4 linked regions of the Rhinolophus ferrumequinum genome follow. The protein of the gene in region 4 purifies or fractionates together with the protein of the main gene of each other region. This does not show direct contact. Links are inferred from orthologs where the notes say so. Each region holds a gene or a part of one and is shown on either strand. Other genes may lie near its edges.

What was found.
Region 1: the proteins of CDK19 (region 4) and MED13L purify together in Homo sapiens (affinity purification with mass spectrometry; 5 studies listed by BioGRID and IntAct, counting the BioPlex papers as one, with this or other methods). This does not show direct contact. The link is inferred for Rhinolophus ferrumequinum from reciprocal best matches to the Homo sapiens genes CDK19 and MED13L.
Region 2: the proteins of CDK19 (region 4) and MED7 purify together in Homo sapiens (affinity purification with mass spectrometry; 5 studies listed by BioGRID and IntAct, counting the BioPlex papers as one, with this or other methods). This does not show direct contact. The link is inferred for Rhinolophus ferrumequinum from reciprocal best matches to the Homo sapiens genes CDK19 and MED7.
Region 3: the proteins of CDK19 (region 4) and MED12L purify together in Homo sapiens (affinity purification with mass spectrometry; 3 studies listed by BioGRID and IntAct, counting the BioPlex papers as one, with this or other methods). This does not show direct contact. The link is inferred for Rhinolophus ferrumequinum from reciprocal best matches to the Homo sapiens genes CDK19 and MED12L.

Annotation. Positions count from the first base shown.
Region 1 is NC_046308.1:10,238,456-10,245,816, forward strand, and holds the start of MED13L (mediator of RNA polymerase II transcription subunit 13-like), read right to left. Parts: upstream 3,016-7,361; coding exon 2,944-3,015; intron 1-2,943. UniProt on the Homo sapiens protein: Component of the Mediator complex, a coactivator involved in the regulated transcription of nearly all RNA polymerase II-dependent genes.
Region 2 is NC_046307.1:27,384,887-27,391,940, forward strand, and holds the start of MED7 (mediator of RNA polymerase II transcription subunit 7), read right to left. Parts: upstream 3,019-7,054; 5' UTR 2,884-3,018; intron 2,235-2,883; 5' UTR 2,173-2,234; intron 1-2,172. UniProt on the Homo sapiens protein: Component of the Mediator complex, a coactivator involved in the regulated transcription of nearly all RNA polymerase II-dependent genes.
Region 3 is NC_046285.1:10,000,535-10,007,933, reverse strand, and holds the start of MED12L (mediator of RNA polymerase II transcription subunit 12-like protein), read right to left. Parts: upstream 3,016-7,399; 5' UTR 2,555-3,015; intron 2,094-2,554; 5' UTR 1,965-2,093; coding exon 1,866-1,964; intron 1-1,865. UniProt on the Homo sapiens protein: May be a component of the Mediator complex, a coactivator involved in the regulated transcription of nearly all RNA polymerase II-dependent genes.
Region 4 is NC_046286.1:63,019,962-63,027,758, forward strand, and holds the start of CDK19 (cyclin-dependent kinase 19), read right to left. Parts: upstream 3,008-7,797; 5' UTR 2,835-3,007; coding exon 2,707-2,834; intron 1-2,706.

The sequences.
Region 1 (7,361 bases), on a different chromosome or scaffold from region 4:
AAGAAACATACAATGACCCATATCATGTATACACAATGGCATTTTCATGTTAGGAAAGGGGGGCAGGATTTGACAGAGAATTTAGGAAATTTAATGCCACAGAAACTGATGCAGTAGAAAATCAGAAAGCAAAATAAGTAAAGGACTAACAAAAATCTTAAGGCACCTGATTGATTGCACAATCAACTTTTGCTAAACCATAATGAACACCTCAAGGTAATACAAAGTTGGTGGGTCATTACTGTGGTACAGACTTTAATGTCCTGTTTATATTTCAATCCATGTAAATGTGAGTATCTGGGTAAATTCTCTATAAACAATACTTTTCTCTGCTCAAAAAACTGCAGACCAAAAAGAAAAATATACGCTATTATTAAGTATATAGAGTTCTTACAATACATGCTTTATTTTGAACAGGTGATGATTTTATCACGTTTGGAATTAATTATTCCATACAATGTACTTTAGGCAACATATTTTTAATAGTCTAGGTTGTTGCTGTGTGTGATTTTCAAGAAAAATTCTCAATTTGGAATGAGAAACGTTTACAATAATCAGCAGCTTTTTAACTGAGTCACAATTTTTTAAGAAAATTAGCACCTTATCCACCCGCCACATACAAGTGAATGTAGACATTTCAGTCCTTTAAAAAATTTCAACTCATGCATTTCTGCAGTTCTGAATTTCCAAATTGCAAACTAAAGAGTAATTCTGTTTAAAAAAAAAAAAAGTATATTCAAAAATCAATTCCTGGTTTAAAGAGGTTTAGGACAGAAATATCCAAAGCACAAACCTTTATTAGGCCATAAAGCACAGCATCCTCTCATATAAAATTGTTTATTTCTCCAAAAGAACCTCAATCATCTTATCTCTTTAACATTATTATCCTTACTTAAGCTTAAAAAAAAAAAAAAGAAATATATCCTACAGACTGGCTATACACATTATACACTTTCATTTGTCTACAAAATCTACTGTATATAAATCAGCCACATACATAGAAGACATTACCAGTCAGCATGATATATGGTAATTTGGAGGATCCCTTCTCACTAACATTGGTCTACTTGGTTATTTTAATTACCTGTTAAAGTGTCAATGTGGTCACCAGCCGCCAAACAAAAACCATTTTAAATACCCCTTAATCAATATATTTGCTAATCTATGAAAGTCCCTGAACCTGACTGACACTAAATGATAGACTGAGAGGGAGGAAAGAAGAGGAAAAATGAGTTTTATTCCCATATATCAAAAGATCAAGTGAAAATCATCAGCACTGAGAGGAAGAATCACAACTTATAATTGAATTTTAAGATTAAATATCTGAATAAAAATGCTGGGGGAAAAAAAAAGTTGACCTGATCTTACTATAGTGAAAGCAAGGATACTATGCCAGTCTTGTAGATAAAAATCACGTTTTGATTTTTTTATCTGCATAATGAAACACATTTAATAAAATAACACATTTGAAAAGTTGGCAAGAATTTGTATTTACCCACTAGTCTCAAAGAAAAAAGCATCTATGGTACTCATAATTAAGTGTAAGTAATTACAATTTCAACACTAAATTATTTATCCAGTGTAAACAAGGATTAAGAGAAAATAATGTTTCTATCTACAGCAGAGGTTACAGAGAACAATTTCCAAAAATGCATCCTGTCCAAAAGGCAGTCCCCCCAAAAAGGGTACGCAACTTAAAATAAGTTGGGGTTTTTTTTTTAAGGCTAAATTAAACAAACCGTTTAGCCAATTTTCCAATTATATTCTACGCTTCAAACATAATTGCCTTACATCTGTTTACAAATCTTTGCTCAATATTTAAACAAATTCGTAGTCTCCCGGGCACATAGCTATACATACAGTAACTCATGCACAAAGCACATATTTAAAGACCACGCACTGCCATTATTAGCCTAAACGCCAGGTTTAACAACGTGAATGTTTTCAGAGCTAGGTAATACGACCCAATAAAAAGCAAAGATGGCATTTACCACCAAATGTCACTGCCACCGCCAAGGAAGAGTTGCTGGAGCCCTATACATTTTTAATTTCGATGAATCTAGACGCCTTCGTCGGGTGCCAGGCTTCCCGGAGAACAATTGACACCCTAACTGCTTCAAGATTAAGGCAGGCGATTCAAATCCGAAGGAAAAGTTGTCAATTATCAGAGAGCGCGCGAGAGAGGCGAAAGCAGATAAAAGCGATGTTATCAAACCGCCCAGCTTGTTGCTTTTTTGTGTGTGTGTGGATTCGTTGTCAGGATAGAGAAAACAGTTTTTAAAAGACACAGGAGGAGAGAAAAAAGAAAAAGCTTTCTCCACCTTCCGTCGGCTCGGTGCAATGGCTTTAGGGCTCTCCAGCGTAGTAAGCCCCGAGAGGCAGGCGGCTGTCGATGTTTACAATCGCGGGAGCTTCGTGTGCAAGAGTCCTTTACTGACACAATCGCATTCAATCAACTGTTTTGGGGCGAAATTGCAGGTGTCATTATGGAATTTTTTTAAAAAATTCAAAAGGCGGGCGGGCGAGCAGCCGATCCGACAAGGGGGGGGAGAAGGCTGCTTCGCAGGCGCGGGCAGCACAAGGCAAAGCCTTTCACATTTAGGGGGAAAAAGGGGGGAAAGGGGTGGGGAAGGGGGGTGTGATTGCAACAGAGGGTGGGCGTTCGAAGTGCGACCCAGAATCAGCAGCTTTGAGACTTCCACATGCAAATTCCACGCCGAGCGCCGCGCTCACAAATGATTTTTAAAGAGCCAAATAAACACTGGATGGGATCCAAGGCGAGGGAGAGACGATCCAAAAGGGGGAGAATCGGCAAGAGGCGAACAGCGGGGAGAAGCGAGGGAGGGGCGAAGTCCCGGCGGCGGGAGGAGAAAGTTGGTCGGCGGCGGAGGTCGTGGACCCCCCCCCCAATACGGCCCCCCTCCCCGCAGCCCGGCTACTCACCAGCGAGAAGAGGTTGGAGTGACAATCCTCCAGGCTCGCCCCGTTCGCCACCCAGTTCGCTGCCGCAGTCATGATCCTCCGCGAGCCCGGCCGCCAGAGCGGGGCATGTCGGAGCGAGGCGTCCGAGGCGAGGCCGGGCCGGGCGGCGGCGCCTCGCTGGGGAGCGCGGGGCGGCCGGGCCGCCGCCGCCGCCGGGGGAGGGCGCGAGGGCCGGCGGGCTGGCGGCAGGCGCCGCGGCGACGCCGCGCCGGGGGCGGCGGGCCCGGGCCGGCGGGGGGGTCCGCGGCGGCCGCGCGGCTCCTTCCTGCTCGGGCGGCGGCGGCGGCGGCTCCCGCGGCTCCGGCGGCGGCGGGGGGCGCTGTCCGCGCGGCCCGGCGCCCTCCCCGCTTCTCAGGGCCGCTGCTGCCTCCCGGGCTGGCGCTGCGGGCCGGCCGCCGCCTCCGCCTTCCCTGTTCCTCAGCCGCCGCCGCCGCCGCCTTGTTTATCTCCAGCCACCGACTCCCCCTCGGCCCCCGCCGGCGCGTGAGGGGAGGCGAGCCCCGGAGCCGCCGCCGCCGCCTCGGAGCCGCCGCCGCCGCGGAGCGCGAACTCGCGAAGGGGGGGGTGCGGACGAAGCCAGCGGGCGACCCCGGCAGCCGAGCGACGTCCCCTCCTTCCTCTTCCTCCCCCACCCCCCCCTCCTCCCCAGTCAGCCTCGCTTCTCCTCCCTCCCCGGGCTCGCTCGCTCTGACAGCAATGGCGGCCGCCGACCGCGGCTCGGCCCGCCATTGGCTAGCGCCGAGTCACGTGACGGGCGCCGGCCGCGCGGGGGGGCCGGGGGCTGGCGGGGGAGGGGCCGGAGCGGCGGCGGCACGCCGGCGGCTCGCGGGCGGCGCTGCTGAGCTAATCGTGGCCGGGTTCTCCGGCCGGGAGACCGAGGAAGACGGAGAAGGAGAGAAAGAAGTGCGGGTGGCGCGGCTCCCGGGCGGGCGGCGGCTGGCGGGGCCGAGGCTGCGGTGGGCTGCTTCGCGTGGGCGCCGCGCCCCGCCCCCTCGGGGGCACAGATCTTTGCGGGGCGCGACCGCGAGCCCTGGGAACGCTGGTGGCGGCCGCAACGGAAAGCTCCAGTTCCCTCGCCTGTGCCCCCGATCGACGCAGGCCGGCTGGCGTGGCGGGGGCTCGCTGTGAGCCAGGCAGGAGGTTCAAATGCTACGGGGAGTGTCTCGTGGAGGTCGCACTCCGTTGTCCGCGTTTTGCAGATGAGAAAACTGAAGCACAAAGAGATTAAGTCAAAGAGATTAAGTCACTTGCCGAGGTCGCATAGCGGGGAAGAGGAGGCGGAATTCGAACCCCTGCACCCATGCACAGTGAAGCTGAGCTCTTACACTAGGTTTTATAAGCCTCGCCCAGGGATATACATGGCTACCACTTAGCGCTTACTGTGTAGGAGGCAATATGCACGGAATACAGACATGCCTTTGAGCCCTTACTGCTAGGCATTGTGTGCATTCATTCATTCATTGCATAAATCTTTCCTGAGCTCTTGTTCTGTTCCAGAATATAACTGCCAGGCACTGTACTAGGGCTGTATTGGGAGCAGACCCTCCCTCTTGGCTCCGTTCATTCAATAATGTACATTTCCTGATCGCATATGGCCTGGGAGTCCAGAGGAGTGCGGGAATGAGAAGGGTCTCCCGGTTACTCACTGCAAAGGTGGGGAGGAGAGAACAACTTCACTAACAAGCCCCAAAACATGGAAAAGCCAGCTGTTTTAGGTGCATTGGACTAAAAGAGAGTAGGAACATGGAGTGTAATAAAAGAAGTCTTACACACATGAATTGAGCTTTGGAACTACCACAAATAACTACTACAGGAAAACGCATGAGCAGCATGTTATAATGTATTATCATGGCTGACACTATGTTATAACGAATATACATACATTATTGCACATGACCCTCAGAACAACCACATAAAGAAGATACTGTTATTATCCTTAGCCTAAAATAAGTCTCAGACATGCAGTGACATCTCCAAGCTGTCCAGTTACTGAGTAACTCAAACCTGGGTCTATCTAGCTCCAGAGCCCAGACCTGAATCCAGAAGGCTCCAGGAGCAGGTGCCTGTAGTTGGCTTGGGCACCCCTGGTTGTGTTACCTTGACCTACATACAGTAGTCCCCCTTATCTGCGGTTTCAGTTAGTTACCCACGGTCAACAATGATCCAAAAATATTAAATGGAAAATTCCAGAAATAAATAATTCCTACGTTAAATTGCATACAGACCCAAGTAGTGTGATGAAATCTCTCACCTTTCTGCCCCGTCCTGCCTGGGATATGAATCACCTATTTGTCTACCATGTCTATGTTGTACATGCTACCTGCCGACTTGGTTATCAGATCGGTTATCAGAGAGAGATCACAGTCATTTTAATTGTAATATATTGTTATAGTTGTTCTATTTTATTATTAGGTGTTGTTAATCTCTTACTATGCCTAATTTATAAATTAAAATATCATAGGTAAGAAAAATAGAGTATATATACAGTTTGGTATTAACCGAGGTTTCAGGCATCCATTCAGTGGGGTTCCTGGAATGTATCCCTCGTGGATAAGGGGGGACTGCGTTTAATTCTCTAAGCCTCCTTTCCTAACCTGTCAAAAAGAGATCCTAATTGCTGACTCACTGACCTCAGGTCAATGTTGTGCATTTCTATTAAGAGATTGGTGGTGACAGTGTTTAGAAAAAAAAGCCAAAGCACTTTATCAATATGCACAGTGTTACTTAGGACTGAGCAAGGAGACGGTATGATGGTCCGTCATATCTAGGTGTATTTACATCCCAGGAGGCCTTCATCCTACACACTTGGTCACCAAATTCTCTTTGTTCAGCAAGTTTAGATTCAACTTTTTAAGGTCTCCCAGAGCAACCTAGAAGAAAAATGAGCAAAGGACATCAACAACTTAGAGAATAGGAAAGACATATGGCTTTTAAACATGTTAAAAGATGCTCAGCCTCGCTCAGTGCTATGGACTGAATGTTTGTGTCCCCCTAAAATTCATATTGAAACCCTAATATCCAGAGTGATGGTATTTGGAGATGGGTCCTTTGGCAGATAACCAGGTCATGAGGGTGGAGCCCTCATGATGAGATTAGTGCCCTTATAAGAACAGACAAGAGAGAGATTGCTTTCCTTACCCGTGAAGACATGACCAAGAAGAGGGCTCTTTCCAGGAATAAAATTGGCCAGCACCTTGATCTTGGACTTCCCAACCTATAGAACTGTGAGAAATAAATTTCTGTTGTTTAAGCCACCCAATCTATGGTGATTTGTTACAGCAGCCCACGAACATTAAGACACTCATCATAAGAAAAACAGAAACTAAAACCGTAATACGTGCTGACAATATTTTAAAAGCTTAGGCAAATGTGGAAGGAGCAGAACTCTTATGCACTGCCAGTAGAAATACAAATTAGCACCACAGCTTTGGGTGTCAATTTGGAGAATTTCAAAATGTATAATGCACATATCCTGTGACCCAACAATTCTACTTCTAGGAGTTTATCCTCCAGAGATACTTGAGTAGATATATAAAGACCTGTGTGCAAGGACATGAACTGTAGTACTGTTTGTAGAGCAAAAACTGGCAGCAACCTACATGTTCATCATTTAGGGAGTGGTTAACAATATAATTTAATGCCACGTAACCATTAAAAATAATGAGTTAGCACTATGTGTACTAATATAGGATAATCTCAAAAATAGATTATTAATTGAGATATCCCTGGGAGATTGTAGTAACATCAGTTGCCTTTAGGGACGGGAGTCAGCATGAGGAGAGGAATTTCTTTTCACTTGCTGTTTTTCCTTTCTGTCTCTTCTCTGTCTCTCTCTCCCCCCCTCCTCTATCCATCCTTCCCTCTTCTTTCTTTCCTTCTTTCCTTCCTTCCTTCCCCTTTCTTTTTACCAAACTGTGTATATTATCTATTCAATGCAATAAGTTATGAACACCACCAATCAATCAATCAATAAAAATGAAAACTGAATAATCAAATGGCACCATAAAAGTACATTTATCAGCAAGTAAACAAGACAAACAAAAAACAAAAACAAAAACCCTCCTCTGAGGCGATCTCTTTGACTGTCAAAGCCGAGGCCCCTGAGTGGAAAAGGCCAGAGCACAGCATGTGATTGTCCTTGCCAGGTGAGTACAGAATGAGAACGCAGGGAGCAGAGGTTCTAGCCTCAGACACGCCACTGAGCAGCCCTGTCGTCTTAGACAAGCCACTCAACCTCTCTGGGCCTCAGTTTCCTCATGTGTGAAAAGGGCAGCCGGGCAATCCTTCAGTCATTTCTAGCAACAAAACTCTTTGACTCTCTGAACAGTTGAGATGACTGATAAAGATCCGCGGAGTTCTTACTCAACAGAGAAAGCAAA
Region 2 (7,054 bases), on a different chromosome or scaffold from region 4:
AATGTGTACTCATTCCTTCATAAATTTATTGTTTGGTATGACAATGACTATACATAGATTATGATGACAGATAATATTTGAGTACATACTATGTACAGACACTGCTCTAAATACTTTTCTCATGGTTGTGAGAAATCTGAGAAAAGAAAGGCGCTCTTTCCATTTTAGAGATGAGAAAACTGTGGCTCAAAAAGGTTGAACCACTTGTGGTAAGTCATAGTGTAAATACTAGAGGAAGGATCCAGAGCCTAAAGATCTCAAACACTACACTAACTACCTTTCAAGGATAAACAAAAAACACTGCCTCCATCCCAGTGTTGCTTACAAGTTATCAAGAAAATAAATACGTTTTAAGGCCAATAGATCTACCTACCAAAAATAAATCTAACAGACAAAAGAATGGTGGTTATCAAAGGGAAAGAGGGTTGGGGGGAGGATAAAGAGGATAAAGGGTCAAATATATGGTGACGGAAGGAGATTAGACTTTGGGTGGTGGGCACACAATAGAATATACAGATGTTGTATTATGAAAATGTACATCTGAAACTTATATAATGTTATTAATTACCAACGACACCCCAATAAATTTAATAAAAATAAATCAATCTAAAAATTCCATATAGGAAAATATCTCATAAGCAAAAATAAAAGGTAATCCCATCTTTCTGGGAGAAGAATGCTTGCAAACTAACAAAGACCAAATATTAGAAATTTTATTTTGATTTTTTTAAAAACATGTTTTCTGACTCCATCCCCACTAGAAGGAAAGTACTATGACTTCAGGAATTGCCTATCTCATTCACAATTCACCTCCAGCACCTCAAACAATGCCTAGAAGGTGCTAGATACTTATAAAGGTCCACTGAATGAGTTTTAAGTCTACATTAAAAAAAGAAAATAGGCAAAAAGGACAAGAAAAATGCAAATGTTAAATAAAGGTGGGAAACTTAAGACTAATGTACTTTTAAAAGCAAATTTTTAAAAGGATAGCTTTCATCTAACAGACTATCAAGATTTCAAATATTCCATCATTCAGCAAATATAAGAACACCTTCTATGTGGCAGGTCCTGGATTCTAACAGAGGTCACAAACTCTCCTACCTCTCAGTTTCTTCAGAGTGGCTACCCCAATTTTATTAGCAGGCTTTTAGCTATCCTGGCCTGTCAGAGAAGCCTTCTGGGATGGAGAGCATCCACTCACCTTAGCTCTCATGGAAGCCACCATAAGGACTACCACGTAACACTTGTAGGTGGTAGGCCAGTACCACCCGAGAGAATATAGGAAATTCTCATTCACAATTGATAGAAAAGGAAACAAATACATATTTGGAATTTAATTTGGCAGTACCAAAAATTTTAATGATGATATTCTTTGAACCAACAATTCTATTTCTAGGTATTTATCTTATAAAAGTATTGGCACAAGCACACACACAAAAAAATTTGTATAAATATGTTTAACGTAGCACTGCTTGAAAAGAGTAGGAAAAGTTGGAATTAATCCATGGTTTTATCTATATGAAGGCTGGATAAAAGATGTCTACATAATACAATACAGCCATTAAGGAAAAAGGAGTGCAAGTGAGTGCATGGGGTGGGGCTTTATTTACAAACACTGTGTACTGTTTCATTTATTTACAAACTTATGACAGTTGCAAACAGTTACAATCAACTTTTTAAAACTTTCTAACAGAAATTCAGACTTACAGAAACACTGTATGAATAGCACAAAGAACATCTGTGTTCTTCACCCAGATTCTCCAAATGTTAACATTTTCCTTATTCGCCCTATTACCCTCAAATATCCCCCAACCATAATGTTCTCTTTTAAGGAATTTAATTACCAAATCAGAGAATTAGCATTGACCTGGCACTTCAACGGAAATGTTAGACAGCCCAGGTTTCACCCCACGCAAGCCTTTTTAGGTTGTGAGTCCTGTTTTGTGCTTCCCAGCACCACGTGCCTTCCTCTAGTATTTAAGTTGCCATTTTCCAAAGACCGACTACATGACAGGTACCATTGTTTTATGTTCTCTTACTTAATCTTCAGAACAATTCTGAGTGAAGCACTATTATTATTTTCACTAGAGATAAGGATCCCAAGTCTCCATGAGGGGAAATGTTTGCACCAGATCACAAGGTTAGTAAATGGTACACAGCGGGAATTCTTACCTCTGGTCCTTTTAGCTGCGCAGCACAAGTTCTTTGAAATCAGTAAACTGTGAAGCTTCTAACTGTACAAAAGGAACTTGATATGTTACAGAAATTCTGTTTATTTCTCCATTACTTCTCTCGACTGAACTACTCAAAAGCGATAGAGGTCTTTGGTAAAAATAATACCAGGTATCCTAGCCGGTGATCAGACTCAAGAGCCACCCTCCAGTTTGCTCCTTTCTGGGGGGCTTAACAAAAAAAGAAAGGCATTCCAGGGCCCCCCCCGCCCCGTCATGTCATCTGCTTCACTTTGTCTACAGTGAATGGGGCTGCTAACAAAGTAATTTTTAAAACCTCTCAGAGGATCCTTTTGACGATTAGCCTTGGGGTGTTCCCTGAAGAGGAAAGAGAGGAATGGCATCCTCCTCTTACAAAGGCCGGAGAGACCGAATAACTCGCCAAGGCCACACCGCTTAGCAAACCGGCGGCGCGGGACTAGAACCCACGTCTCCCAAGCTCCGGTCCAGCGCGGCCTCCCACACGGAGGAAGCGCCGAGCCCGGGCTGTCCACGAGCGGCGGGGAGGCCGCGCTCTCAGAGGGGACGCGGGAGAGGAAGGCGAGCGAGCTCACTGCGCGCCAGCCCCCCATTCCCAATCCGCCCAAAGTCTCGGGGTCCGGAAAGAGAAACACGCGCGGAACGGAGCCCCAAACCGTCGCCGCCCACTCACCTCAGCTCTGGGTTTGTTTACTCCGGTAGCGTCCTTCGCCACCGCCGCCGAAATTCTACTTCCGGCGTCGTCTTCCAGGAAAAACTCACTGACGCTCTTTCTTTATTGACTGAAAGAGCTGTCCTTTAACCGAGGCTCTAGCCCCGCCTCAGACCGCTGGCTCGCTACTACGCATGCGCCTACCCTGGCGCCTCATTCCCGCTGAGTTCCATTGGGTGGCGTGATCGCCGGCGGGGTTTAAAGTAGGCTAGGTCCTCTCTGTACTGGCTTCTATCAGTAAACGTCGCAGCTGGTAGCTCCGTTTCTCTTTTCTTTTTTCTTTTCTTTTTTTTTTAAATTAAACGAGGCATCTATATGTCTTACATAAAAGTTAGAAAATACAGATGAGCAGATATTTTTAAAAACTATGTCGATTCTAATTAACCCCACTGTCAAAAATATTTTAAAAGATGAGATTGGATTCTATGTGATATATATGTGTGTGTGTATATATATATATTTTTATATATGTTCCATATATTATATATATATATATATATGAATCTGGAAGTATTTGTGACCGTGATTGGGAATCAATAATACATTTTCAATTTCCTTTTCTTCACCGTTCACTTTTATTTTTGTTTAGGGATTAAGAGATGTCTATATTATTTCCGGGCAACAAATTAGCACGTTTAAAAAAAAAAAAACAGACTTAAAGTTTTCTTTTGGAGGTTATTTTCATTAGAAGTGTCACAAATTTCTAAATTCATGGGAATCTTACAAGAGCATGTTGCACGTAAAAAGTAAGTTTGTTATTCTGGTAGAAGTTCTCAATTTTACCTCTTTAAAATAAGAGTCTTTGATTTTATTTCTTAAAAACTTCTATGGAGAGTTCCAAATGTCAGCAAAAGGTCACTGCCACCAATTTAATGCCAACAGGAGTCCTCAGTCTAGGGTGCAGTAAGAGGAGAAACTGCTCAGGTAAACAGTTTGCAAAAGTGGGAAACACATAGGAAACCTAAATTGCACCCCACCCGGAAACAAACACAGAGGAGAAGCCACTTTATATTATAAAGTTCCTGCTCTAGTCCCTGATTGGTCCATTTCTATGCAAATGAGGGATCAAAATTTATAGAGTTTGATTGGTCTAAATAGCACTGTCCTGATTGGTCGGAATTACACGTTCCTATTGGTTGTTATGGACTTGCTCTGATTGGTCAGTAAAGTTGCAAATGAAACTATAGCTGTGCAATTCCCATTGGACAGGGCAGGTTTCAGCCCATTGGTGGAAAGACTATACCAGGAACTCCTTTATAAGGCTTGACTCACAGGCAGGAACACAGTACAAGACACTGTGTTTTTCCCCTGAGATGTAGAGTACCTGAGGGGCTTCTGTAGGCAATGGCTGCTAGACTCTGGTTATGAATTTGTACCCAGTTAACCATGATGAGTCCTTGGAAGATATTTTCTTTCTCAGGGTTCACACAAAAAAGTAGAGAGAACGGTGTACTCATCACCCAACTTCAACACTTATCTACTTATAGATATTATTTTATTTCCACAAGCATCACTGAAAGATAAGGACTCTCATTTTTTTCATATAACACAGAACTCACTTTAAAATAAATAGTTGCTGAATAGCATCAAAATCAAGTCAACATTTGGACACCAATTGCCTCAGGATCCAATAAAACCCTCCCCTTTTGTGACTGGCTAATATGTCTTTTAATTATGTTTTAATCTATAGTTTCCTGCCCTCACCTCAATTTTCCTCCCATATCAATTTATTTGTTGAAGAAATCCATTCACTTTTGAGCATACCCTAATCAGGCATCTCTCCCCACCAAAGATCAATGTGACCCACACCTGTGACCTCCAATGGTCATTCTTAGTTCTCATTTTACTCCACTCTCAGCAACATTGGGCATATTTGATCATTTGAATTGACCCAGGACTCAATTTTTACTTTTTAGTGGGATATCATCCAGGTGATAACATCCAGGTGATATGCAGGCTCTGGCAACACCCTCTCCTTTGCAGTCAGATCCCCTTATCCAACAGTATTCCACATATTTACTCAATTTCACTTCACTCAATTGCAAAAGCTCAAATCTAAAGATTCATCTTTTACTCTTTCTCCCATACTCTTTCAAAACTACCATAACAGCCTTTTGTATTAGTTCTATTTAGAAACAAGTAAAAGTCCCCAATACAGTATAACTCATTTTCACCATCTCCACTGCTATATTCCTAGTCCATGCCACCATTATGTCCCTTAGACTTCTGCAATAGCTTCCTAAATGGCTTCCTTGCTTCCACTTTTGTCCTCCCTTAGCCTACTTACCACACTGTCTTAAAATATAAGATAGATCTGACCAGTCCTCTGTTCAAAATTCTTCATGGTTTTCTATCATATTTACAATAAAATCTAATGTTCTCAATATAGCCTATGTAAGGCCCTACAGAATCTAGTCCCTGCCGACTTCTCCAATCATATCTCCTACCATTTTTTCTCTTGCTCACTTTTCTCCAGCTATAAGTTTTATTCTGTTCCCTCAAAATTGCCAAGCATATTCCTGCCTCAGGGCCATTGCATTTTTCTGGAACCCTCCTTCTACAGAGATTCACATGCCTTCCTTCCTTCTTTACTTCATTCAGGTCTCTGGACAAATGTGACCTTCTCAGAGAGGTCTTCCCTTGTCATCCGATATAAAATAACACATTCCCAAGCATTCTCTTGAGAGATGCCCCAATTCCCTTACTATACTGTCGTGTAGGGCGGCCTGCGGGGTCTCAGCTCCCGCTCCCCACACAAGAACGCAGGATATGGTGAGGCCAAAAAGGAACACTCACGGAGCCATAAATAGGGGAGTCATACCACTATATTCTCGCTGGCAGCATCCGCCTCTCTGCAATCCACTCTTGCTAGCTCAGCCACCATCTTCTTGCTAGGCCCCAATTTTTCTGCTAGCAAAGCCATGGCAATTATATTAGTGGCCAATGGCTCACTGGTTACAGCTGACGGCCAACTAGCCACAGCTGACGGCCATCTACTACCTGAGCCAGCACCCCAACACGTGAGGCCGAGAGCCTGGAAACTGCTCTCTGGGGCTCTGTCCCCGCATATACATTATCCTTCCTTTATAGAACTCTCATCATCTGATATCATATTATGTAATTTGTTTGTTTGTTTATAGTCTTTCTTCCCTATCAAAATACTGTGTTCATGAGCATAGGGACTTTGCTTCATTCACTGCTACACGCTCAGCGCCTAGAACAGTGCCTGAAATTGGCAAGTGGTCAATGAACATTTATTGAATAAGTAACAAAATGCATATAATCATTTTTAAATAAGTTCACAGTGACATTGATGGACAAATCACAGTCTATTTAGTCAAATCCCCATTTTGTGAAGTTAATCTCCATCCCAATTTTTACGATTATTAATACACTGGGTGAGCATCTTGGTGCATACATGTTTGTGCACATGTCCATTTTTTTTTCCCTCAAGATAAATTTCTAGAAATGGAATTATTGGACCCAGAGGTACAGTGTCTTACAGGTAGTTAGTGGCAGGATCAATGCTAGAGTCTAGGACTCTTGACTCTCAGTCCAGTGTTCTTTATAATAAACTACAAATGAATGATGGTATGAAATTCGTAATGAGAAGGGCTGGTGAAAATATGACATGTAATAACCTTTATTTATGTGGTTATATGTCCAGAATCTCGATGGAAAGTTTATTCCTTAAAGGTGTCTTGTATAGCTTAACAAGGCATACATTCATTCAACAAACAAATTTTTATTGTGTGTCTACTGTGCCAGAAACTGTTCTAGAAGATAAAAAAGACAGACAAAAGCCTTGCATTCTAATGCAGAAACACAGATAACATGCAGACAAATAAGAATTTCATAGTTATAAGGGTTACGGGGGTGGGGGGGGTACAAAACAAAGTGATAGTTACATCGGATGAGCATAGCTACTTTATAGCACGTGATCAGGGTAGCCTCTCCCATAAGGTGACTTTGGAGCTAAGGAAAGAGTGACAAGGGAGACAGCAAAGAGACTCAAGCAAAAAGCCAGAGGCTGCCATGATCTTCCGGAGTTAGAGAGACAGGAAGGGAGACTGTGTGCTCTGTAACTAATGAGCAAAGGGAGAGTGAGAGATGAGGGGGCAGAAACAGGCAG
Region 3 (7,399 bases), on a different chromosome or scaffold from region 4:
ATACTGGTTTGGTGGTCCAACTCCCGGGCTTATTCACCACGCACCTTGATTAAGTAGCTTTCTAGGGCCTCAGTTTCACTTTATCAACAGGAAGTTATTTTAAAAACTAGACTCTAAGGTTACTTCCAGTGCTAGAATTCCATAAAATGTTGTAAGATCCTAAAATCCCAAATTATTTTTTTCCAGAATCATAGAGGCCCCAACCTGAACGAGTGTCGACCTGAGGAGTAAATGCTACATGCGCGCACAGGGCATCCGCGGCGTACCATCCCTTAAGTGGGAAGATGCCGGCAATTATACTGCCCTCTGGAAGATGCAGTGAGACATTAATTACCAGGTGATAAAGGGCAGCCAATCAATGTCCCTGTCCCAACCAAAACTTGAAGAATTTCCTGCCACTGATTTTTAAGTTATTAACTTTCTTTACACTTGGTCCTTAGCATCTGTTACTTCCCGTCCTTAACAATTAACTTTATTCTGGGTCAGAGTAGCAGGGAGAAAAATGGGTGGGGAAAAAAAATCTGCAAAGTCTCGTCAAAACTCTTATGTTCATGTTCAGCCTCAGCTGAGAACCACCTGTAAAAACCTTCCCAGCTTCAGTATGAACTACTCAAAGGATGCTCAAAGATGTTTAATGTGCTAACCCTCTAAAAGGAGCTGTCAGTCCTTTTGCAGAAACGTTAACAAAACAGTTTAACCAGAACGTTCTTTCTCTATTACTGAAATAGATACATTTATCAAAAGGGAAGTCTTAAGGACCTCTCCTTGCCTTCTTTACAAAGCCCTTTCTGTGATGTCAGTGGGCCGGTAAACTTTTAATAGAGGGTTTTTAGATTCCCAGGAAGAGAAGTTCTGAAACGTTCTCCCTCGTGTTTAGCTGAAGAAAACAGAGAGAGGATGGGTGGGCTGCAACTGGCAAACTCAGAAAAGCACAGCAGGGTAGCAGGTGAGCTTTAAAAAAAAAAAAAAAAAAAGCAAATCCCTTGGCAAATTGTGTCGCCAAGGGTGATCACTATAACTGGAGATTTGTTATATAATTACTTGTTAACTACGGACAAACACATACATGTCTACAAAATGCCATGGTTACTCTAGCCATTGAAGCTAGTGAACCTAGTCCAAGAGTCAAGGTTTCTCCAACAGTTGCACTCAAAGAAAGAAGCAATCTCGGTACCTATTCCCTTCCAAGGTAACAGGATTGCTTTTACGTATACAAAACTGCCTCCGGCAAATTAAGCCAATCGCCTCCAGGAACGAAATCACTTTTTTCCCGTAATATCGATTTTTAAAGGGGAGAGGGGATACAGAAAGTACGTCCAAAGAGCTAAATATTTATCACTTCGATAAAAACGACTTCGCTCCAAACTGCAAATTTTGAACAGAAAAGGTCCCCACCCCCTCACGCCCCCCCCACCCCCCGCACTAACACCCAGTCCCTGCTTAGCTGGAGCAAAAACACGAGACCCGTGTCGGATGCACTGCATTCCAACATTTTTCAAAAAGTTTACGAGGATTTAGCAAAGCGGCAGGGAGAAAAATAAAGCAGGCAGAAGCGGGGGAGAGCGAGCAGGAGGGTTTCGGCAAAGAAGAACCAGATGAGCGCCCGGCAATGCTGTGCAAGGCCCGGTAACGGAGAAGCGACCCTGCACCCGAAGAGCAAGCGTCTCAGTGGAGCGCGGGGACTGACAGCCGCTGGGTCTCCGCCGCCCAGGGTCCCCCAGTCCCCAACCCGGCCCCTGCCGCCAGTCCCCTCCCTGACCCTTCCCCCGCAGCGCCGCCGTTGCCCGCTGGGCCAACTTGGCCCGGGGTCAGCTCTGCGGAGCGCGGTCCCGGTTGCCGGGGAGGCCGGCAGCGCCCTTACCTACCTCCTTCTGCTTAGGGTCCTGCGGGTAGACGTCCGGCGGCCCAAGCCGGGGACGTTTCAGTGGTCTCTGCTCATAGCTGAGAAGCCCGAAGGCGGCCATGATCTCTCATGTTAACCGGCGAAATGAATGAGAGTTGGAGCTGGAGCAGCCGCCTCTGAGCACCAGGGAGCAGCACTTTGCAGACAGACTCCGTCTCTCCCCCTCCTCGCTCGCTCGCTCGCTGTGGCGCTGCAGGCAAGAATAAAGCAGGTTGGATGCTGCCGCTGCCAGACACGCAGACACGCACTGATGGGGGCAGCCTTCGGCGGGCACCCTGCTGCGCTGGGGCTCCGGGACGCACCGCTCCTGTGGCGGCGGCCGACAGAAGCTGAAGGTCCGCTCGGGTCCTCCGCAGCGCCGGCCTCCCGCCCCCCCTACTCTGTCCCCAGGGGGAGGAGCAGCTGATGGAAACGTGTGACTTTTTTCACCAATGGACCCAAACCCACCCAGCCCGGCACAGGGCGGGGGTGGGGGAGGGGCACCGGGGGAGAAAAAAACTTTTCTTGGCGCCCAGGCGGGTGGCCCAAGTGCTCGCCCCAGGCTAGGGTGGCCCTCCGGCCCCAGGAAGAGACTGCGGAGCGGCCCGCCTCCGCCCCTCTTCCTCGTCAGGGATCCTTCCACGCCGCCACGCGCCCCGCAGACCCAGCCACCTGGGCGCGGACTCGACTCCGGCGGAGAGGCCTGGAGGGGATGGGGGAGGCAGAGATGCGGACGGTGGGGAAGCCGCGGGTGCCTCCTAGACGCCCGCTGGGCTCCGGTGGCGCATCGGCGGCTCCGGGCAGGCGCCGAGGCGCGCAGCTGGCGGTCTCGGCGGCTGGAGGGGGCCGTGCTCACGGTGGCGCGGGGCCGACTTAACCCTTTGCTGCCCCTCCAGGGGCTGGGGAAAGAGGGTGAGGAGGGTAGGCTGTGAGCGCCGACCCCGGCAGCCCGCCCGCCGGCATCTCAGGCTCCTCCCCCCCAGCCGCAGCTCCTCCTCCCACCCCACCCCCCAACAGTTTACCTGTTGGTCCCCGGCTAGTGGGCAGGGGCCCGCGGCAGCGGCACTCTGGCGGCCGCAGCCTCCATGATTCGGGTTGGGGTGGGGGGGATCGGATTTGATTTTATTAATAAGGCATCAGTCTCCTCCGGGAGAGCTCTGCGGACGCCGCGAAGTTTGCCACTGTCTGGGGGCGGCGGGCGACGCCGGCTCGCCGCCGCCGCCGCCGGCGTTCTCGCCCCCACCGCCCGGGAGCGCGAGCCTCCGAGTTGGCGGACGCGGCGCGGCGACCGCACTGAGCATGCCCAGCTCGGCGGCCGGACCGCGGAGGAGTTGGCTGCGAGCGCGCTCCGATCCGCCTCTCCAGGTTTTCGCAGCCGCAGAGCGCGCAGCCCGGGGGCCCCGGCGCCGGGACCTGCCCTGGGGCGAATCCTGGCGAGGGAGGGGGCACCCCCAGGGCCCCTCTCCCGGTCGCGGGCAGCGTCGTCCGCCTCGACCTCTCCTAAGGTCGCTGTTCTTGTAGCCTGGGCCGGAAATCTCACCTGCGCCGGGCGTGTGGACGGACGGAGGGAGGGAGGCAGGGAGGTGATCCTCCAGGGAAAACCTTAGTCCTCCAACCCGCCCGCGCTCCATTCTCGCTCCGGGGTGTGGGCACCGAGATGCTGGGCCACCTGCCGCGAGCACTAGGAGACCAGAGCTGCGGGGGCGGGCCCGGCTTGTCCCGAGGGACCCCGCGGGAGGCGCGCCCGGGAGGATGCGCCCGCACTTGGCCAAGAATGATGGCTGCCATTTATGGAGCCCTCGCTTGGTGCCAGGGTCTTGACAGTAAAGGTCTGTGATCCTTAAAAGAAACCTTACAAGGTTTTACTGTACCCTTTTTGTAGACAGACATTAAGTCCGCTCAAGGAGGCCCAGTGACTTGCTCAAAGCCCGGAAGCTGCCCCTGCCGGATCCGAAGTTTCTGCCCTATTCTCCACGACTTTGGATTGGAAGGACTGGGTTCCTGAACTGCCCTTGCCTAATTGTGTCACGTCTCCCACACCTTGAGGAATTTCTCAGACTCTTGGTTCCATCCTCTCTCTATAAGATGGTGCGAGCAGAATCTAACCCAAAGCCTTGGTACAGCACCTGGCACACAGTAGGTGCTCAGGAGATGTGGACCAAATCTGAATATCTACTTACCTCTGCTGACTGTAAGCAAAAGGGAGGTAAAAAAGGATAGATAAGGCGATGGCAATAGAGGCTAGTTTCTCACTCCGGACCCTCACCTATTAGCACTTCCCAATGCAGGCTGAGACCAAGTCAGGCCGGTGGTTTTTGGCTTCTTGACTCAATCTGAGCAAGTACTTTTGGAGAACAGTTACCCTCCATCAGGAGATATTTCCTGTCCACCTTCTGCACCCTGCCCCAAGGACCACCAATATCCTGGATGTAACTTCCAAGCTGAATTTGCCCTTGTGATATAGGCATCTATCAAATCTAACTACTTTGCTTGAAAAATAAAGTCATTATCTAGCTTTATTAGGAAAATTATCAAACCTACCAAAAAAGCAGAAGAAATGCTATAATGAACTCCCAAGTACTCATCTCCCAGTTGTGTCAGTTATCAGTTTTGCCATTCTGGTTTCATCTCCCCCACCCCCAACACATTGACAAGCCGGTGAGAGGACAGTGTTATTCAACCTGAGCACACAGCATGGAATCTGGCACACGTAGGTACTCAAAAACATGTTTGTTGGCTGGTGGGAAGATAGGTGGGTAGGTATGTGGATGGATAGATCACTAGTGCTACTTTGGGATACGTTTTTGCTGATACCCTAGTCTGATGGGAGATGTAACCTAAATTCTTCATGTGTATACCTAGGCAAGAGCCTCCACGAAAGAAAAACTTCTGAAGCACTGAAAATCTTATCTAACCATAAAGATTTTATTTTAAAACCAAAATGTGTTAGTGCTGTGTCTCTAGGATTTGTGAAAAAGGGAAAATGTTAGCTCTCCCCGTATTGGTCTCCCTTTCTAACTCCCTCCCTTGTTTTGACACAGTCTGGCATGGATTATTTGGCCCTCTCAACATTAATTGGGGAACAGTGTGTACTTCCAGAAGTTTTTCCAAATCAAGTTGTTGTCCTTTCGATCTTAGTTGTGGAGGGCACAGCTCAGCTCCAGGTCCAGTTGCTGCTGTTAGTTGCAGGGGGCGGGAGTCGAACCGGCAACCTTGAGGTTGAGAGCCCACATTCTAACCAACTGAGCCATCTTGCACTGGCCCATGTAGGGATCGAACCGGCAGCCTTCGGCGTTAGGAGCATGGAGCTCCAACCACCTGAGCCACCGGGCCGGCCCTGGCCCTCTCAACATGAAAATTTTTTTGAAAAGTGAAAGCTTTAATATGTTCAAAAATAATTTAATTTCTCAAAAATCATTCTTTCATGACATGGACTTCCCGTGGGTGTTTGGCTCCCTCGTCCCGGCATTTGCCCTCTGCACAATTCACCTCCATCTACCAATCCAACTTTTTCTCAATCTCCAGCTTCAATTAGCTCTCATTCCTACTTCCAAATATGGAATTCCCAGGTCCTTCATTTTCTGATAGCCATCTGGGAATAGTCCTTAGAGTCCTGGACTATTATGAAGCCCACCCCAAACTCTTGAGGTACAAGATGATTCTTCATTTCTTTCAGTGCCCTTAGCATTTAATTTTCCGTCTCATCTCTTAACATCTCATCATTTATTGGCATGCATTCAAATGTCCCGCACAGAATAGTCTTTCCCTATCCCCACCTTACCCTCGCTCTTTCTTCCAGTCCAGAGTCCCTTTTGAAGCTGACTAAAGCCAGTTAACATGGTGGGCTTACCATGGAAACCACTGTGTTCTGTGCTATGCTTTTTTCCCCATCACAGTACTGATTAACTCGGCTGATAGACACGCATTCTTTTTGAATAACATGAGTCTCATTTGTTACTGTTCCTATAAGGGGCATTTTATCTTTTCCTGGCTAATGACACCACCGCCACCACCCGGGCCTGGGAACAGTTTGCGTGGAACAGGATTACTCAGAGAAAACCACAGGTTCCCCAGACACATCTTGGGGAAAGCAGTTGAAATGTGGCTGGAGGAGAAATTATAAACCATTTTAAGCGTGTGGGACTTTATCCTCCAAGTATGAAGCTAACTCTCTAGGAGTGCTTTTGTGAGTTGACAAGTGTTTAAAAGCAAACCCATTTCCTTGGGTCATATCCACGGGCGCCTCAAAGACCTCTCAGCATCAGAAACCTCCCAAGCAGATCATGCTCCCTCTATAAGCCCTGGTTTTCAGAATTCTGCAAGGAGTTCCCTCATAGTCGGGACCCTTTTGTGCTCTAGGGCAAAGTCCCTTTAAGATGGCTCATGGCTGCTGGCTTTTTTCTCCCTGTGTTTGGTCTGCAGGAAACACACAGACGTCCTTTGCACAAACTCTAGTGCAGGGATTTTCTCACCAGCCTACTCTCCTTGCCCACCATGGATGCACTCTCAAGCCACAGTTTTTCACCTTGAATGTTCTCCAGTCTGGGTCAGTGCACAAACGGCAGGTGCCCAGGCCAGTGGTCTTCTCAAAGCTCTTTTCACAAGGCTTGAGGTAAGGAATACAATTTCTTTGACAAAAGGCAGTGACACAATCATACTTGCAGAGCAGATTTCAAAAAATGAGAGTGGAATGACTAGGAGCAGAGGCAGGGTGTTGACCCATCAGAAGAAGAGTGATCTTATTATCCTATTTTACACATTAGCAGGTACAGTAACTGGCACAAAACAATTGAGTTAGCAAGTAGAAAAGCCAGGATTAAACCTAGATCTCTCTGGCTCTCCAACCGACACTTATTACTGTCAGTGTGCTATATGAATTAATTATCATTTATATAACACATATAAAAGTGAGCCTCAGGAGATAGGTCTGGTATAAGAGAAGCAAAACTCCCAACAGCTCGCTCTGGCATGGACTACACTTCTACTCAACTGGAAATAAACAATTCACAGTGTAGTGCCTGTAGGTGAAGTAATTAAAGTTGCTGGGTTTCCCCGTGGGACTGATGCTTGTCCAGGTGTATATATTACTGTGTTTGGTTAACAGATTGCCTACAGACAGTCTTGCTTACTCTCAGTTTTTCTTATATCCCCATTACATTTAAATGTATTTATCTCGTGCTTACTTCTGAATCAAAAAAAGAAAAATTTCCTCCTTCTTTTAGCCTCTTAAAGGAAAGGAAAAATAAAAATGACTTGAAAGGCAGGTCAGGATAGAGAAAGGAGGAAAGAAGGATAAATTTTGGAACTTTCAACCAAATGGAGTCTTTAATACAGTCTTTAGGCCACTTACAGAGACATAAAGGATACACACATTAAGACTCCCTAAAGCAGCACTCACCAGAGAATTGTCAAATGTGTACTTTTACATCTTCTAGTAGCCACATTAAAAAAGTAAAGAGAAATAGGTGAAATGAATTTGAATAACACATTTGTTTAACCTAATACAGCCAAAATATT
Region 4 (7,797 bases):
TTAAACCTGATTTTTTTAAAAACTGAAAGGATAGTTGGGTCAAAAGATCCTCTTCCTTCAAAACAAAAAGACGGAATAAATAACATCAAACGTGAAAAACCCATATGTAAATCTTGCATTTTCCAGTCTGTTCTAAATTTATGTAGCATAATATAGCCTAAGTTACATACTTCAAAGAAAATAACATTCTAAGGTTTTGTAAACTGTAATATTAAACTATAAGCAGAGGCTTTTCTAATGATGTGATAGGTTACATTACTTCTTTCAGTGTTTCTTCTAAAGACCTGAACAATTTTTATAGATATACTACACTATAAACACTAGAATAATTTCCCTTTAAGGTACCCATGTGATTTTTCTTGCTTCTTAAAATAGTGTTATACATTTTTCTGAGTTAACCAAAATAAATTCTGGAAAGAGCTAAACTGTAATTTCCCATGATCAGAGTGTAAAATCCTTTACTATGCAAATCCATATGACAGTTTAGAATCACCACTAAACACTTTTTGTTCTTTTCAAAGCACTGGTATCAATGAACATCAAACTAATCCTGCTACCAACCCACAAGAGATGTGTTTACTATAAAGCCTCAAACCTCAACTAGACCTTTGGCCCAAGAAAAAAACCTTTACGATGATTTTTCTTACATGTAATATAGTGATTTAAACTAATGCTTTCAGATCCTAAAAGTTTTTTTAAAGTATAATATTTTGAAGATACACAAACTGATCTTTACTAAAGGAGCTTTATTAATTCTAGTCAAACAAATTTCACTCAAGAAGGAAGTGTATTCGAATCAAGAACTTTATTAGAAGGGAAAATATTTTAAACAAATAGAAGTAGGGCTTAAATTATCATTTCTTGTTGTAGCCCATGCTATTCAAATACATTTCAGAAGCAGAATTTTCAACTTTTCTCAAAAGTTGCCTGCTAAAAGGAAGCTATTTTAATTTTTAAAAATCAAAATATATTTTAAAAATTCCAGATCAAGTGTATTACCAAGTTAGCATGAGGAGTATGAAAAAACAGCACATCTGATTTGTTTTGTAATGCTAACGTCCAGTTAGGAACACTAGATGTGCTTTCCCCAAATTTATCTGATTAAGACTCCCACAGGAACACCAGTGTAACAAGTACAGTGCATATTCCAAAAAACAAAATACAAGTTATAAGACCTCACATTCCAAGATGTTCATTCGAGGACACCTGGCAATTAGCTAAAAGAATTATGAGACAAGATTACAAACAACTGAATACTATGGGGCCCCTTCAGTTAGAACGAAAGAAAAAATTATTTGCAATAATTAACAATCCTTTACACTTGCATAGTGCCTTGTAATTTTCACGTTTTATGATAAAACAATTGACAAAGTTGTGCTTTTACATTACCTGTATGAAATTAGCACACACCCCTACTTACTTTAGTCCTAGTTCATAAATCAACCATATCAATTACAACAGGGTGCGCAGAACGATAAGCATCACTTCAAACTCACTAGTATCACTGTAGCTGATACTGTTTATTCAGAAATGTTCCGCTAAGATCCTAAAAACTCCCTCCCATATAGTCTGACCGTCTTTAAAGTCTAAGCGGGACAGGCAGATGTGCCCTCACTCTGGGGGAGGGGGAATTCCTGCCAGGATATGCAATGAGGTGAAGACTGGTTTAAACCTACCCTTCGCAGGCAGGGAGCTGGTTCCACCTGTCCTGCGGTGCGAGCCCGTCTGCCCTCCGGGACGACGGAGAGGTGTTCTTATTACACGACCCAGCTCACCTTCTCCTAGGAGAACTATCAGTAAGGGCTTCCTAAGGGGTTTCTATGGTTTTCCCTCAACTCCCAGGAAAACAAAGGTTCGGGCCCAGCTCTGCTAGCACTCCGCGTTCCGTTTTGGATCATCTGCGGTAGGTGCTCGATAAACCCCAACACGCAATCATATAGCAGAGGATGGCGCGGAGGGCATAAGGTTGGGGGAAATTAGTTACCAACGAGACGAACTTTGAAGTTCTACGGGCAAAACGCGGTTAGTCCCTCAGGAGGTGCTACATTCGAAGGGAGGTGAGGAATTCACAATGTGAGAAAGCGAAATCATGGGCGGGCGAAGAGGGGTCGCAAAGTAGGCGAGTACACGACAGGAACCGGAGGGACTGTGCTGAAGGGCCAACGGGCTGGTTGTCCCCAAAGGCTCGGAGGTGCCCAGTGGGTCAGACCCGTGAGACTGGTTGAGACCCCGCGCTCCGCCGCCCGACGGACTCCTCCGCGAGGTTTCAAACCGCCGCCCCCGGGAGGCGCTCAGCCCATTGGAAGTTCCACAACGACCGTCACCAGCCCACGGCCGGAGCGGCAACTCCTCGGCGGAGCTCTCCCCCTCCGCGTCTCCCCAGGAACCAGACCCCACAAACTCCACCTCCAAGCCGGGTCCCAACTCGAGTCCGGCCGCCTGCTCCAGGCACTCGGAGAGCGCCCTCCGCGAGGGGACCGACGCCCCCCGACTAAGGTGCGCCGCGGGAGTTCGAGGGGCGCGACGGGGCCACGCAGGGGACGGGCAGAACCCGCGTCCCTCAGAGTCCGACCCGGGACGCGGCCCCGCAGCCACCTTCGCCTCGCCCCTCGGGCACGGCCCGGCCGGGCTCCGACCCACCCATCCCGCGCGGTGGCGGGCAGGGCGAGGACCGTAGCGAGCCGACTCCCCCGCCCCTGCTCTTACCCATCTTTCCGCCTCGCCTTGTAGACGTGCCCGTAGGTGCCGCGTCCCACTTTGCACCCTTCGTACTCAAACAAATCCTCCACCCGCTCCCGTTCCGCCGCCAGCTTCGCCTTGAAATCATAATCCATTGTCTGCTTCCCCCATAGAGGCACCGGGACGCGGGGGCCGCTGCCGCTCAGTCCCTCCTCCTCCTCCCCCCGCGACCGCCGCTCCACTTCTCCAACAGCCGCCTCTCGGGCGCGCGCGCACGCGCGCCGCCCGCCGCCCCGTGGTCCGCGTTCAGCAAGGGACTCCTCGGCGGCCGCAGTAGCCACCTCCTCCACCACCTCCTCCTCCTCCGCGGCGGCGGCGGCGGCGGCTCCCGCAGACACCCCCAGTCCCGCCTCCCCCCTTCATTTCCTTGTTTTGGAACCTGGTGGGCCGCACCGCGGCTTCCTCGAGCTCATTAACGAACCAACCCTCCCGCCCCGAGGTCGCGGAGGCTCCTGGGACCTGTAGTTCCGAAGGCACGAGGAGCAGTTGAGTTACATCTGCGAAAGAAATACAGCTCCCAGGTTGCCTTGGGTCGCTATAGCCTCGCCCCCACAAAGCATGCACGCCTGCGCACTGAGCACCTCCCCCCCTCAGGTAGAGCTGGACTGCCAGTTCCTGTGAAGGTAGAAAGTGCGAAGTTGCAGTGTGGTTTCTGCGAGTTTGAGGGAGCTAGTGGAAAAAAGGCCCTTGTTCTGGTGTGAGGAAAGTACTTCACTATAACTGTCCCCGGGGGAGAAAAGTGGAACGTATTTAACAAGCGCCTTGCTCAAGAGTCTGCTCCAGTGGTTTGCGAGGTGAGGACTGTTGTTAGGAGTTGTACTGCAGATTGTTTTTTTGTGGCAATTGGTCCTCATCTTGCCCCGCCCCTCGTCCAACCGTTCATTGGCGGAGACTAGAGAATGACGTCCTCGTTGGTGCGTGGGTATCCCCAGGCTTTGGCTTCTTTCCCGTTCTTGATTGGTAATTGAGTGTGCTCGGTTCCTTCTGATAGGTTAATCTTTTTATTTGACGATGCAAAAACCGTATTTCAAAAGCTGAACATTCAGCGGTTTCCTAGTTCTAGCATCGGTCTGAGGACGTACAACTTCTGGTCCCTAACAGCCAATCATCCTTTTCTTGGCCCTCTAGTCATGGTCTCCGCCTAGTATATGCGATTCCCCTTAGCCAAGCTTTGCCCGTCTAAGGACAATTAAAGGGCTAGAAGGATGCAGTGTTTTAAAAACAATCATTTGGGTTGGACTGTAAAAGTTTTTTACGGTGTATACAAAATGGTGATGTTCTCCTAGAATGTTTAAAAAAGTCCCCTTAATCATGGTGAACATTGATTCATTATTGCAGACATAAAGTGTCAGATGCTTGGGATACAATCTTAAACATGATTGGTGCTACGATAGGATTTATATACTACGTTCAGTGGGAACACAAGGAGGAAATGGTCAATTCTACCTGAAGTTTTAAGGAAAGTGAGTAGTGACTTGTCTGCAAGGTTTGAGAAAACCTGGGAAACTAGAGGGAAGAGGTGGGAGGATCGTTTATTTACTAAAACAGTAAGTTTCCTGGGAAACCTCCTCAGATCTTGAAGTTAATTACGAAGTATATGCGATTCTCTTATTTCCAGGAACTATGGTAAGTGCAGGAAATACAAGATGAAAATTGGTCTTTTTCCATCAGGGAAATAAAACCTATTGGGGAAATAAACATGTGAACAAAAATAAACTATAGATTCAATGAGAAATGGAAGAATAGGAGGACTACGAGAGGACTGAGGTTAGGCTTCACAAAGGAGGTAGGTTTGAGCCAAAATTTAAAGAACCTTGTTTGGAGGACAAGTGGAGAAGTGGGGAGCAGGGAATTATTTCAGGCAGAACCAGCACATACATATACCATGAGAGAACATGATATATTCTGAGAAACGCAACTAACTTGAATATTACAGATTAAGGCAGGGGGAAACGATGGCTAAGAAGAGACTGGACAGGTATCCAGAGCGCAAATTTTGAAGAGCTACGTATATCAAGCAGAAGTTTTAGATTTCATCATACTGTAGGCAGTAGGAAGTCATTAAGGACTTTTGAGCTAAGGAGTAATGCAATCAGTTTTGTGTATTTTAAAAAAAAAATCCTTCAGACAATAGTGTTTGGGATAGAATGGAGGCAGGTAAGTACAGTAAAAAAAAAAAAAACTTGCATTAATTAATACTTGTAAAATACAAAGATCTGAACCGTAGAGTGGCAGTGCTGATTATGAAAAAAGGGCAGATACCAGAATTATTTATGAATCAAATTCAACAGGACCTGGTGATTAATTAAATGTAGGGTTAAAGGAGAGAAAATAATCTAAAATGACTTCGAGGTTTTTTACTTTAACGTAAGATAGAAAAATAAAGGAATAGAAGCAGTTTTTAAGAGAGAGATGATGAGTTTGGCTTGAACGTGTTGAATTTGAAGTACCTGTGGGGCATCAAGATAGAAGTAACAAGGAAATGAACATTTTTACGTGTTAATAAGAAGTTTTATAGATTTGGAAATCATCAGTGTATAATGGTGGGGTGTGGAGAATATTTTTTGGTTGGTTGCTATTTTTAAATAGGAGTTTTTACATTCATTATATCCTCAAAATATCCCTAGGAGATCTGATGTATTATTATTCCTGTTTTACATATGAACAAACTGAGACAGCTAGTAAATTGCAAAGCCAGGTCTTAATGAATATGTACTTGGGATTAAATGGAAATTAACAAATGTGTTAGTAAAAAAACAAATATAGGCTATGAAAATCTTAACTAAAGAAATCAAAAAATGTGACCACATCCTGTATTATCAAGGAAATGGGGAAACAGACACTCTCCTACATTGCCTGTGGAAGTATTCGCAAAATATATACCAAATTATACAAGGTCTGACAATTAAGTTTGCAAACTTGTTGCAATGATGTTGCTAACCTTTTTTGACATAACAGGGATTATTCATTATGAATTTGTACCAACTGGACAGTTAACCAAGTCTACTATTTGGAAATGCTGAAAAGGCTGCGTGAAAAAGTTAGACAAAAACAACCTGAACTTTTCGCCAACAATTCATGACTCTTGCATCACACCAATGACCAGCTTATACGGCAGTGTCTGTGAGGGAGTTTTTAGCCAGTAAACAAATAACTGTATCGGAACACCCTCCCTACTCACCTGCTCTGGCCCCCAATGATTTCTTTCTTTACCTGAAGATAAAGGAAATATTGAAAGGAAGACATTTTGGTGACATTCAGGACACCAAGGGTAATACGACGACAGCTCTGATGGCCATTCCAGAAAAAGAGTTCCAAAATTGCTTTGAAGGGTGGACTAGGTACTGGGGTCAGTGCATAGCTTCCCAAGGGGAGTACTTCGAAGGTGACCGTAGTGATTCAGCGATGAGGTATGTAGCACTTTTTTTAGAATGAATTCGCGAACTTAATTGTCAGACCTCATACATTAGATTTTGATCTTGGCAACGTCCATCAAAATTACATAGTAGTATCCTATGGTTATACTCCTGTGGTAGATGTTGTGATGTGCCTTCCAGATCCCCCTTCAGGATTAAGGGATGTATCCCCCCCCATCCCCACCCTCCAACTGCCTCCCAAGCTGCTGGGAGTGCTGCTACACATAGCCGTCAGTTATCAGTCCTTTTCAGGAATTGCCTTGGCTGAAGAGCCACCACCTCACCTAGATCGTGCCATTTTCCTAGAGCAGCCGCTATCCAATGGCTGATCAATGCAGAGATATAAAGGCCCAGACTGCTCACTGTACTTCAGGACAAATCTGATGGATCATCCCATCTTCAGAACTCCCTGCGGGGTTGACTGAGGTCATCTCTGAGAATACATTGCAGACCAACTTCTCAATCTCCCCGATCCTGCTTCCTTCCTTTCCCTTCCAAAGGTATTGTGCAGTTTATTAACACTCTCTAATACACTGATTACATGTCAATCTCCATCTCAGGATCTGCTTCCCCAGGAGCCCAATCTGTGGTATTCCCCACATGTGCAAGATGATATAATTCAAGGTTACTCACTGAGGATTGTTTATGATAGGAAAGGACTGGAAACAACAGAAATGTTCATTGAAGGGGGACTGGATAAATAAATTATGGGACATCCATCAATGGATCATTATGCATCCCTAAAAATAAAGTGAAGGCTATAAAATATGCCTTTCAGCTCTCCTCCCTGCAGGGAGGCCCCAGCCGCTAAGCTCTGAATCTCCCACACTCCCCATGGCTACTCCCAGCCTATGACTGAGCATAGCAGGATCCTAAGGCAGGTCCATTCCTGCCAGATGTGAGTGGGAGTACTCTGATGGGAATGACTTTGCTTTAAGGACTCCTCAGGCTTAAACCCATCTGAGTCTTTCTTAGAATCATGTTGCAGGCTGAGTCACTGCCTATCCAACTTTCTTTCTTCCTTCTCTCCTTCACAGGGGTCAGTCAGATCAGTACCATAATCTGACAGCTCCACCAGCTACCTCCTTTTTTTCCCTTCTTTTTCTCCCTCACAGGCATCTCCTCCAGTAAGTCTCTTTCCTGTCTAATTCCATCTTAGCATCTGCTTTTCAGAAGACCCAAACAATGAGGAAATTGTACTGAAAAGACCTCCAAGATATATTTTCAAGTGAGAAAAAGCAAGAATGAGAAGAATGTCTATAATATGCTAACATTTTTATACAAAAGAAAAAAATACATATTTGCGTGTATATGCATATACTTACCTCTAAAAAGAGCACAAGAAACTGCTCAAGAAAGGGAACCATTGCTTGCAAATTAGGGGTAGGAGAGAGAATTTGTACTGTATACCTTTTTGATCCATGAAATGTAAATAAAATTTAAATGCAAAAAAAAATAAAAGCTTAGATAAGAAAGGGAGGAGACAGATAGATAGGATTGTGGTTACCGTTATCAAGACAGGTTCAGAGTTTCACTTCATTGTTTTGTTTTGTTTTGTTTTTTAATAGGAGGAGGGAACTTTTCATATATTGAGGGAGAATAGCTGGTGGAGAAAGAAAAAGTGAAACCATAGGAAATATTG